Linked DNA regions of Cricetulus griseus. Each later gene encodes a partner of the first gene's protein in a complex. Links are inferred from orthologs where the notes say so. Each region holds a gene or a part of one and is shown in the gene's direction. Other genes may lie near its edges.

Evidence for each region. The genes of interacting proteins can lie anywhere in the genome.
Region 2: Uxt (region 1) and Asdurf share a complex: the UniProt entries of both Homo sapiens proteins name them as parts of the PAQosome complex. The link is inferred for Cricetulus griseus from reciprocal best matches to the Homo sapiens genes UXT and ASDURF.
Region 3: Uxt (region 1) and Pdrg1 share a complex: the UniProt entries of both Homo sapiens proteins name them as parts of the PAQosome complex. The link is inferred for Cricetulus griseus from reciprocal best matches to the Homo sapiens genes UXT and PDRG1.

Annotation. Positions count from the first base shown.
Region 1 is NC_048604.1:125,813,286-125,817,525, reverse strand, and holds the start of Uxt (protein UXT), read left to right. Parts: upstream 1-1,435; 5' UTR 1,436-1,529; exon of another isoform or gene 1,530-1,706; 5' UTR 1,707-1,716; coding exon 1,717-1,814; intron 1,815-3,586; coding exon 3,587-3,668; intron 3,669-3,806; coding exon 3,807-3,874; intron 3,875-4,142; coding exon 4,143-4,240. UniProt on the Homo sapiens protein: Involved in gene transcription regulation. Acts in concert with the corepressor URI1 to regulate androgen receptor AR-mediated transcription. Together with URI1, associates with chromatin to the NKX3-1 promoter region.
Region 2 is NC_048595.1:402,525,326-402,529,320, forward strand, and holds the start of Asdurf (ASNSD1 upstream open reading frame protein), read left to right. Parts: upstream 1-1,186; 5' UTR 1,187-1,294; coding exon 1,295-1,384; intron 1,385-3,006; coding exon 3,007-3,060; intron 3,061-3,995.
Region 3 is NC_048599.1:26,995,305-26,999,349, forward strand, and holds the start of Pdrg1 (p53 and DNA damage-regulated protein 1), read left to right. Parts: upstream 1-1,236; 5' UTR 1,237-1,326; coding exon 1,327-1,413; intron 1,414-2,843; coding exon 2,844-2,919; intron 2,920-3,900; coding exon 3,901-3,975; intron 3,976-4,045. UniProt on the Homo sapiens protein: May play a role in chaperone-mediated protein folding.

The DNA of each region.
Region 1 (4,240 bases):
GGGGAGTCTAGCATCTAGGTTATCCTCCAGGCTCAGCCCTTCACTTGCTAAACATTTAAATAAAAATAGAGAGAATTATTCACTCTTAACTACAAGTTAGCCCATCTTCAGTAGAGGACTCCAATGATGGACCATATAACTATGATGTGGGGTGATTAAGCACAGCATTTTGCCAGTCTCTGCCTAAGTCTGGATCATGGAATGCAAGCAACCAAGCAGAAGTCATCCAAGAACTTCTTAAAATTTGTGTCTGTTTAAATATTTTTTATGTGCTCCTGCCCATTCCTTTTACGGAGGATGAAACCCAAAACCATGTGTGTGAAATATACGTGTATGTTTTGGGGTTTTTTGTTTTGGTTTGGTTTGGTTTGGTTTGGTTTGGTTTTGGTTTTTCGAGACAGGGTTTCTCTGTGTAGCTTTGGAGCCTATCCTGGCACTGGCTCTGGAGACCAGGCTGGCCTCGAACTCACAGAGATCCGCCTGCCTCTGCCTCCCAAGTGCTGGGATTTAAGGCGTGCACCACCAACGCCCGGCGTATGTGTTTATAAAATAAGCAATATTCAAATTTACCAATTGCCACAGGATATACTGCCCTCTTTATAGATTAGTACCATAATCCTTACTAGTCTATAGGCAATCTTGTGCTTTTTAAATTATCAAATGCTTATGTGAACTCAGTGAGGTTTGTTTGTTTGTTTGTTTTGCTAAAGAGGACTTGAAGGTGGAAGGGAAATGAGGTAGGAGGGGTCTGGGTGGAGTTGGAAGGAGGGAGTAGGGAGTGGATATGGCAAAAATACATTGCATACATGTTATGAAATTCTCAAAGAATAGAAATGATTTTAAAAGAAAAAAAAAAAGGTGGGGACTACATAGATGGATCTATGGTTAACAGCACTGGCTATTCTTGTAGACGCCCCAGGTTCGATTCCCAATGCTCACAAATATTCAGTAGCTCCAGCTCCAGGGGATCCGACGCCCTCTTTTAGCCTCCACGGGAACTGCACGTACATAGTGCACACGCATGCAGACAAAAAAGATAAAATAAGAAAAAAAAAACAATTAAGACCGGCGAGAAGGCTACAGAAATGGTTCGGCATTTAAGAGCACAAAAGGTTCTTGCAGGGGATGTGAACTCCGTTACTACCACCCACATCATGGGAGCTCACAACTGCATTTAACTCCAGTACCGCTGCCGCGCTCGCTCAAACATGCGCGCGCGATTCAAACAAGCTGTAAACGATTTACTCCCTCTCCCTACCTTCCTGTGCGTCCAACCTCCCTCAGAACCCGGCAAAGCTCATTAGACTTCACCCGAAACAGCTACCCGCGGCTGTCAACCACTAGCCGGCTAGCAGACAGCCCGCCCTCTGACTTCCTAGTATTCTCCAGGGTTTCCTTAAGATCCCGCCTCAGCGCTCCACTTTCAGGCGGTCTCCTCTCATTCTGGACCGCCCCTCCATGCTGGAAACACGTCATCCACCCGCGCCACCCGGAAACCGCGGTTCATTCTAACCTTAGGTGGCCCTAAGGTAAGCACGGCGCTTGGGTACCGGTGAGTGACTGCGTGTTAGAGTCGGGTTGGGCAGAAGGAGGAACCCCGTAGCATGAGCCGAAAGAAGTCATACCCAACGTTAAGAGGTTGGAGAGAACTTTGTGAAGTTAAACAGGAGCACTCAACGTGGTTTTTCTCCCTCCTCACTCCCCAGGAAGCCTATCATGGCGACACCCCCGAAACGGCGGGCCTTGGATACTGTAGGAGAGAAAGTGCTGCGGTACGAGGCCTTTATCAGTGACGTACTGCAGCGAGACTTGCAGTGAGTGACAACGCAGATTCTAGGCGTGACATTTGAGAAATTCCACGTGGTGGGTGGGACAGAATCCCGGGAAAACTTTCGGATTGGCCGGGAAGAGGGGTTGACGTCCGGGCTGCGATTTGGTTGGAACTTGGCCCTTGTAGTGGAGCCTCTGGCGTCGTTCGTCGGATTAAAATAGTCATAAAAACCCACGACATTTCTGACTGGGCCATTTAGCCATTACTTATGAAAAAGTTGTACATCACCTCTCCTCTCTGTGCTTTATAAACTTTGCTCATCTGTGGAATGGGAAAGTTTATGGAGCCTTCTTAATGTGGTGGTTTTGAGTTTTAAATGTGTCTACCCAGGTAAAGAATGTAACCCAAAGCCTAGACTGATAACACAGGACTGTAATTCCAGCACGAAGGAGGCAGAAGCAAGAGGATCTTCGAAGTTGGAGACCAGCCTGGAATATAAACTTGACTGTCTCTAAAAGGGGGAAAAAATTAGAATGAAGCCAGGCTCAGGCTCTGTGGTGCATGTCAGTAGTCCTATCTAGTGGAGAGGTGGAAAAATTCATTTCTTTAGCCAGGATGTTCAAGCCAGCCTTAACAGTAGAACATGGTTTTGATAAAATAAAGCCCAGTGTTGTGACACAGGCTTGTAATCCCTGTACTTGGGATGGGTGAATCAGGACGATCCAGAGCTCAAGATCATCCTCAGCTATATTTCAAAGATGAGTACAGCCTAGGCTCTGAGACTGTGTCTCAAAAAAAGAAGACAATGGAGCCAGCAAGATGGATTGCCTTGCTTCCATGTCCTGAGCTAGCTCTCTGGGATCCACATAGTGAAAACAAAAAAACTCCCAAAAGCTGTCCTATGACTCACATGGGTGTACCACGGCACCCATACATGTACACAAAATAAATACATTAAGTAAGAATACTTTTTAAAACTTTACATAAACCCAACTATACTACAGTTGTATTAAGGCTGAGAGGAAAGAACTGTCTTGTGTACTCACAAGTAGCCTGGGAAACTCAGTTCTTGTCTCAGAAAATAAAAAACAAATAACCTGGATAGTTTTGAAAAGGAATTTAGCTCCGGTGGATGAAACATACTAAAAACTCAATAATTAGATGATTAGTATTGCTGTCATTATTAATGTGAACAGAAAGTTTGGAACTAGAGCAGTGTGAGCATGGAAGGTATGTGTAGGGTGAAGATGGAGCATTTTAATTGGCATAAGGCACTGAGTACAATGCAGTATTTGTAATAGTGATGGATAGAAAGGATACAGTGTTTACCATTTGGCTGGCATTTTATAGTAAACACTTGAGTCTAATGGTTCCTATGAGGTAATACTGTCATCTCTATTTTATATGTTGTGAAACTAAGTCCCAAATAGGTTTCCTAATGCCAAAGTCACATTGCTAGTAAGAGTTAGAGCTCAGGATGAAATACAGTCTGACTTGTATTTATTGAAATACTTGGTGTGTCTTTCTCTGTCTATACTATGCGCTCGCTCGCTCTCATGTCTCCGTGTGTGTGTGTGTGTGTGTGTGTGTGTGTGTGTGTGTGTGTGTGTGTGTGTGTGTGTGTGTAACACAGGATCTCACTATGTAACCCAGGCTGGTCTTGAACTCATAATCTTCCTGCCTCAGTCTTTCAATTACTGGGATTACACTCGTGAACTACCATAATTGGCTTAAAATGCCTTTTAGGCCATGATGTGAGATATCTCAAGAGGAATAGGGCTGCCTAATGATCACTCTTCTATTTCCACGTATCAGAAAGGTGCTGGATCATCGAGACAAGGTATATGAGCAGCTGTCTGTATACCTTCAACTGAGAAATGTAATTGAGCGACTCCAGGTAAAGGCTTTTAAATTGGGTATCAGTTTGTATATGTGTACAAAGAAGGAAGATGGGAAGAGAAACCCCAAAACAAAACCTTTTTCCTGCCTTAAAAATTGGCCACTGACACCTACTTCTTTTCTCCTGGCCCTACAGGAAACTAAGCACTCGGAGTTATATATGCAGGTGGATTTGGGCTGTAACTTCTTCGTTGACACAATGGTGTGAGTGTATTCCCTCCCCTCCGAGTTTCTTCCTTCTTTCATGCAACAAGTATTTCTTAATATGTTCTATATACCAGACTCTGGTCACTTTTATATTGCACTAGGATGTAAGCTACATGCTGTGGGTGTGAAGTGAATGAACATGAAATACCGGCCCTTACAGAGCCTTAACTTTAGGGAACTGGAGGGAATAGGAAACACCTTCAACTATACAATGTGCTAAATGGTAATAAAGACTTCCTCCACTTCCTCTGACTTCTTTCCTCAGCCCAGATACTTCCCGCATCTATGTGGCCTTGGGATATGGTTTTTTCCTGGAGTTGACACTGGCTGAAGCTCTCAAGTTCATTGACCGAAAGAGTTCTC
Region 2 (3,995 bases), on another chromosome or scaffold:
AGCCCTGGCTATGGATGAGGACTATGAATGACAGGGCCCAGGCTCTCTTGACCCGACCACCATCATCTCTGAAAGGGAGCCCCGGGTGGACATTAAAGTATCAGGGCGGTTTATCTCTTTCCTTTTGGACACTGGTGCCACATACTCAGTCCTAAAGGAGTTTTGGGGACCCACCTCTCTGTCTCGTCTTCCTATTGTCAGGGTAGGAGGACAGCCTTACTTACCTCAGCAGACTCCACCGCTTAGCTGTATTTTTAGGGGGATTCCCCTTACTCATTCATTTTTGGTTATACCGACTTGTCCTGTGCCTTTACTAGGGAGGGACCTTCTAGCTAAGGTAGGAGCTTCTATTTCTTTTGCTCCCCACATTCGCCCAACTCCAGACTCGCCAGCGGCTCCCCTCCTCCTCCTCCTAGCTACTCACCCTACAGGTTCCAGTACGTCATTTCCTTTACCAGCCTCTCAGGTAGACCCCAAGGTCTACCAGAACCCTTCTGTGGCTAGACACCATCCCCCCTTGTCATTCAGTTACAGGACCCCTCTAGGTACGTTGCTCAAGTTCAGTACCCACTCCCACTCCAGAGCCTTAAGGGACTTAAACCTATTATCTCTGACCTCCTAAGGAAAAAGCTACTTCGTCCTACCTCCTCCCCCTTTAACACCCCTATACTGGCAGTAAAAAAACCTAATGGGACTTTTTGTCTGGTTCAGGACCTCCGTAACTCTATGGTAGTGCCCCTCCATCCTGTGGTTCCTAACCCTTACACACTCCTCTCTACTATCCCCCCGACATCTCACTTCTCAGTTTTAGACCTTAAGGATGCCTTTTTCTCTATACCCCTCCACACCTGGTCTCAAAATATCTTTGCTTTCACCTGGACTGATCCAGATACTCATGTCTCCACTCAGCTCACCTGAACCTTTTAATAATAATAATAATAATAATAATTATTATTATTATTATTATTATTATTATTATTATTATTATTATTATACATCGGATCCGCTAGGGGACGACACAGAGCCTTCATAAACTCCGCAACCAGGCAATTGTGCCTTTAGTTCAAACCAGTTTGCGCATGCCCATAACTATGTCTAGTCTCCCACCCATACTCCCCCAACCGCCCTCTACTGCGCAGGGGTGAGTGTGCGTACTCCATTGGTCGGGATGCCGGAAGGGGCGGGTCCACTGAGAGCTCGCACGCCGGATCAGGGCTTCCTGTCCTCGGTTCCGTCCCGGCGGCTCACCGGCGTGCATCCCCGTGGGCTCACCGGCGTGCGACCCGGCGTGGAGATGCCCCGAAGTGGGGTACGAGCAGACTATCGCGCCGCGCCGGTGCCCCCCTACAAGTCGGATGCACGCACGGAGGCCCTTAACAGCAAGGTGCGGTGGGTGGCCGGGGAGCGCCTTCCGGCTGGGGTTCCCGGCGGCGCCCGGCAGCCCGGCGGCGTGCTCCTCGCTTCCGTAGTCGGTTCTTGGCACCCGCCTCAGGCTGCCCCTCCTTCCTGCAGACTTGCAGAGAGGGAGGCACAGAAGCTTGTCCCCCAAAAAGGGGGGGGGGGAGAGACACTGGCGGAGGTTTGGTGGGGCTGTCCCCTTACCGTCCCCCTTCCCTTCACGCGGATCTGTTGCTCTGTGGATCTGCTTCACCCTGTTAGCTACGCACCCGCCTGGGGGCCATCCTTGACATCCATCCCGAAAGTTTAGAAATCTGCCAGTGTCCTTCCAGACGCTGTCACTGGCTGTTCTGACTCAGGGTGTCCCCAGCTGCCTGTGTCCTCCACTGTGATCCTAAAATACATTTATCTGATGGTCTCTAAGTAGGACTCTTGCAAGTTAATCTTTGTCTGCCTCCCTCCCCTTTTCTCTTCCTTCCTTCCTTCCTTTCTTCCTTCCTTCCTTCCTTCCTTCCTTCCTTCCTTCCTTCCTTCCTTCCTCCCTCTCTCCCTCCCTCCCTTTCTTCCTTCCTTTCTTCCTTCCTGAGCTTTCGTGTCTCTCAGGCCAGGCGCAAACACTGTTGTTTGAGAGGGGAGCATGACCTTATTCTCTTGCCTGACAGCCATGATTTCAGGGTTGCACCACCTTGCTGAACTATACCATTAATCTTAACTTCCAATTACAGACAGTCTTTAAACATGTATAGTGGAGAGTATTAAACGTTTTAAATTCTACATTTTTTTTTTTCTGTCCCAAGTGACATCTTGGGTTAGTGACCTTATTCCCACTGTATCACAGTTTTCTTTGGTGTCAGCTAAAGTGAGATGTCTACCTGTCTTTCCTAAAATGAACATAAAACACCATACAAGCAGACTTGAGTCTCAAGGAAGATGAACTCGTGTGGCTTTGTAGTTCATCACTATAACTCTCACCTCTGCCATCGTGGAGACATAAGGATGCATACTCACTAGGGCGGGTGTGAGTTTTAAAAAAGACCTTGCTTCTTATTACTGTGTGTGATGGTGTGTGGTTACTTAAATTAGTTATTGCCTAGTTAGGCATTCATTTGATGGTCACAAACAAGCCTAGCTTAATGATAACAGCAGTATGCAGTCTTTGCCATGCAAACAGAATGATGCAAAGATGAAAAATGATGCTGTATCTCCCCAGGTAGGGCATCCAATACTATTTATCTGAATGTCTGGCTATCATCTAGTACATACATGAAAAGTAATTGTTGTTGGGGAAGGGGAGAAACACATTCATTTTCTTTTTTTAAAAAGTGTACAACAAAACTTTATAAAACTAATTAAAGGGTGGGTATTGATTTTGGTGAACAGTGGCTCACTTTGGTTAAGGTATAAGCCATGTGGTAACTGGCAGCTGGCAAGTCTAAGTCAGCTTTTCCTTCTCCAGCTGTTTTCCACGGAGTCCAGCTGGGTGTTGTTGCCCTGTAGAGTGTCCATTTAGACAGGTGGTATGTGACAGCCCCCAGTCCCATTATTCAGAATTTCCTCACCAAACATACTTTGAAAACGTCTACTTTAGGTTTTTCTTTATTTTAATAGATTAAAGAACAAAAAATTCTTGTGGATGAACTTTCTAACCTGAAGAAGAATCGGGTAAGTTACTGTTGGAATCCGGAATAGTATACAGTATATTAAAATCAGGAATTAGATCATTTATGCTAAAATTACAAAATTCTAACATACTAATTTAAAACTAAAGTATCCTAGTTTGTTTTTCATGTTTTTCTGCATGTATCAGTAAATCTCAAAGTTGACAGGATTCTTTCCCTATTACATTTTTAACAAAAAAAGAAACAATTACTTCCTTTTCCACAGCAAACTTTAATGCTCCAAGAACTTAACCTATTTAATTCCTTTTTTATGACATGTTCATAAATAAACTGCTGTCTCATGTGTAGTTTTACTGTTAAAAAAATATATCTTAAATGAAGAAATGATTTTGTTCTCTTTCAAGCATTTTAAAATGACTGACATTTTCAACATTTCTGATATTGTCATTTATGAAATATTAGAACTAAGGCAAATTAATACAAAACTTCTGGAGACCAGATTGGCAGAATGTATAAACGCTGTATGAGACTTGACCTGGAGCTTCTTTTAGAGTAACTGATGAATAAACAAACAGTCGTGAAAACACATGGGCATTTAACTGCAGTGGCAATCTGTAATAATCATGAATTGGCATTCTATCAAATGTCTGAAGTTTGACAGCAGCAAAGAACTATAGTATTGTGCCCGTGTGGTAATATAAAGAACCTTCATTGATCAGAAAAGGTCTCCATGTTGTTTTATAAGAGTAAATTATAACCCTGTGGCTGTGGTAGCCTTTGTCACTGACAGTAACATGACATAATGGCACATACTATGCAAACAGCCCTTTCTAGGTGGCAAGTATCGAGTGGCTTTGTATCTGTTTATATTTGATAAATTGCTGTTTTGAATATTACTGAAGCTCAAAAATAAGTGATAATAGGATTGTTGAGCATCACTATGCAAATCATGTCCTGATGTTGTAAATTCTTTTGCAG
Region 3 (4,045 bases), on another chromosome or scaffold:
TCCCAGCCTAAGCCTGCAGCTATAAAACTTAACAGTAATGACCCTATTTATACAAAAGAGGCCATGAAAATCAAGTGAGCCAGTGTATTAAGGACCTAAGTCGCCAGAAGTCAATAAAGGAGACTAAAAAGTGAACATCCGATCTGGGCCTTAGGGCTCAGTGAGTATGTGTTCACTCTGAAAGAATGAGGCCCTGGGTTCGAATCCCAAGCACCCACATAAATAAAAATCCAGACACGGTTGTGTGGGACTGTTACCTCAGCATTGGGTACATACACAGAGCTCACTGGCTAGCCAGCCTAGCCCAAAAGCGAACTTCTGGTTCAGTGAGAGGTTCTATTTCAAGGCAGGAAGGTGGAGAAAGACAGGAAAGCAGCTGACACCCTACTCTGGCCTCTGCATGTGTCTGCATGGACACAGGTGCCCCCACACTTACATGCATGCACCACACACACACACCCCCACACACACACAGCACATACACCCACACAAATGGCATACAGCTCAGTGGCAGAGCTGAGCGTGTGAGAGGCACTGGGTTAATTCCAGTTATATACACAGATAAGCAAAATGGCATCGGCGAGGCAAAAACTCCCAGGCCTCGCCTCTGAGCCCCCAGCTTTGCAACTGTACTCTTACTGACACTTCACTGCTCACCCTGGACAATTTCCAGCTCCTTCTGTGTGGGTCTCAGCTTGCTACTGAGGACACTGGATTCAACAAACGCAGCAGCCAGACGAGATTTAAAATGATTACTGTTTCCTTTTCATCTTCAGGAGAGAGAGAGAGTGTGTGTGTGTGTGTGGGGGGGTAATTTTTATCACCCATTATTTACAAACCAGAAGCTGAAAGTATCACCGGTTAAATATAAGTCTCCCTGCCACACTCGGTTTCTCGGCGTCGTTAAACAGGACTTAGGATTTCTGTGTCTCCAAAGCTCTTAACTCTACCACCCATAATATGTAACTATTTTCCCATCAGTGTTCGTTGTTTCCTACTGGGACGACATTTCTAAAGTCGGGATGTTTTACTCCTTGCTCCATCCAACGTGGTACACGGTGGATGCTCAACAACCCTTTGAAGGGAGAGCAAAGAAGGCAGCGCACTGGGCTGCTCCCTCAGAGACTGAAGGGGGCGCTCCTGTCCCGCTCCCAAAGCTAGACCCGCCCCTCCGGCGCCCCGCTGATGCGCATGCGCCACCCCTCTAAGGGCCCTTTTTTTTTCACTGCGCAGGCGCGCCGGAAGTCCTCAGCGCGGCGCGTGCGTGGATAGAGCAGAAGGGGCGTTGAAGCGGTGCCGAAGGTGTCTTGAGAGCTGTGTGTCGCCATGCTGTCCCCTGAAGCGGAGCGGGTGATGCGGTACCTGGTCGAAGTGGAGGAGCTGGCCGAGGCGGTGCTGTCGGACAAGCGGCAGGTGAGAGACGCGGCGGCGGCTAGCTTCGTAAGCAGGCAAGCGCGCGGGGTTCCGGAGCGAGCGCCTCCTCTGCGCTGGGCAGTAGCCTCCCTTTGACCCTGTCCCTGCGGGCCCCCCGGAACCTTACCCTCTGCATGCGGCTTCCCCGACCCCCATCGTGAGTCAGGTTGCTGAGACCCGAGCGGCATTTGGCTGGACGGTAGGGTGACGTGGAGTGGGGCGGGGGAGGCTGGAGGGCCTCGTAGACCCGAAAGGGGAGCTTGGCTCTGGATCTATGATTAAGTGGTGAGTCTCCAAAGGGAGTTCTGAGTGCTGAGAATGTTATCTTTGGATTTTGATTGATTGATAGGTTGGTTTAGACTCTAAACTTTAGAGGGACTCATGTGTCTTGGGGCTGGCCTCGAACTCACTGTGTAATCTCGGATAGCCTTGAACAGTCCGTGTTTGTCCGCCCTCCTGAGTTCTGGGATTATAGGCGTGCATGCACGGGACTTAGGTTTTAAAAGTCTTCTCTAGCTGCTAACTAGTGTGCAAAGAACCATTGAGATCAGTGGTTCTCAACCTTCTAATGCTGCAACCCTTTAATACAGTTCATGTTATGGGTACCCCCCCCAATAAAGTAATTTTCGTTGCTACTTCATAGTTGTAATTTTTTTTGGGGGGGGGAGACAGGGTTTCTCTTTGTAGCTTTGTAAACCAGGTTGGCCTCAAACTCACCAGAGATCCGCCTGCCTCTGCCTCCTGAGTGCTGGGATTAAAGGCATGTGCCACCACCTCCCGGAACCATAGTTGTAATTTTGCTGCTGTTATGAATTGCAATGTTTTGCAGTGATCTTGGGTGACTCCTGTGAAAGGGTTGTTCGACTCCAAGGGTCAAGACCCACAGGCTGAGAACCACGAATTTAGTTATCCAGATCTGGATTTGGACCAGATGTTAGTGATGGGGTGAGAAATATACTTTGGAAATGGTCTCCAAAAGCTGCCATAGTTACTCCTGTGGTCTATAGTGAGAAGGCCTCTGTGGTTCACAAGCAGCAGGATTCCTGTGGACTCCAGCCCCAGAGTCATTGCCTGAGTAGCTGTCATGGTGGTGTACGTCCATGTCTGGGGAGACTGTTAGATTTTCCTACAATAGCCTGTCAACAATAACTGCCCAGGGGAGACACTAAACTCTCTGATGACCCTGGTACATGCTCAGGTTTGAATTGGGCTGTGCAAATGATTCCTAATTGGTAAACTTTTTCCTAGCACCTGCTCTGGAGGAAGGAGGCTCCTGTACAGGCCGAGGGGCTGGCAACTGAGTGGGTAAAGAAACACGCTCATGCTTCAGTCCATGTTAACCAAGACATTGGCCTCCAGCCAGGAAGGATTCCTTGTCTCTTCAGGTTGGGGCGGGAGGCAGCTGAGTTCCTATCTGCTTCTGTTTTCAGATTGTAGACCTGGATACCAAGAGGAATCAGAACCGAGAGGGCCTGAGGGCCCTACAGAAGGACCTGAGCGTCTCTGGTAAGTTGTAACATCCTCACTGAAGCCCTGGAAACTGATGCAGTTCTCCTGTGAAGGCCTTTGTTGTCCCTGCTAGAGAGCAGGCAGGAGGCTGGGACTGTGTGACTCAGCCTCACAGGAAACGAAAACAGCTTGTGGGGAAGAGCGGGCAAACGTTGCAGGTCAGACATATGCTGTGATTCAGGATCTGAGCTGCTCACTTCAGTGACAGGCCATTAGCTTATCACTCATCAATGGCACACAGCACTTAGAAGCAATAATAGATCTGCCCTTATGTTCCACATGAGGAAAAGCAGTGTAAACATACAACTGAAAATTGTGGAAAGCTAAAGATGGAGTTGGCCATGAGTGGATGTTGAGACTGTCTAGGAGGGAGGAGATGGGGCTCTTTAGATGAGCCAGGTGGCTGTGACTTTGGCAGTGTGAGCAAGTGGGGGACAACCTGAAGCAGTTCTGGAAGGATGGGCAGCATTCAGGGCATAATGAAGGGCACTGACGTCCATTCCACTGGCTGCTTATCTCACCGGAGTAAAACCCAGAGTTGTCCTGCAGGATTGATTCCACATGACCCCGCCCCACACACTCCACCATGTTAGCCCCCACTTTCTCACCCACTCATTGACCCACTGGTCTCTTGGTTGTTCTGACACCAAAACACTGCCAGTTCTGGCTGTTGCCATCCCTCTGCCTGGGCTCTGCCCAGGTGTCTAGGGAAGATACCCCCCCCTTTCCTCAGTTCTCTGCCTGGATGTCACATCTGCAAAGAGCCCTTGTACCTCTCCTGATGCTTCCCATCACTTAGCACTATGTGGAAAAACAACTTGTTTATTTACTGTCTTTTGCTTTGTTATGAATTCCACAAGGGCAAGAACTTGTCTTGTTGGGCTATGTTCTTAGCATCCAAACAGTGCTTGGCAGATAGTCAGTGCTTCAAAAAGAAGAAATAAAACGTGTTGAAGTAATGTCTGTTTGCTATTTCAGAAGATGTGATGGTTTGCTTTGGGAACATGTTCATCAAAATGCCTCACCCTAAGACAAAGGAAATGATCCAGAAAGGTAAGGTCTCCTGGAATGTTCAAGGACATGGTCACTTCCCTACCAGTCATTATCCAGAATTGAGAGGCAG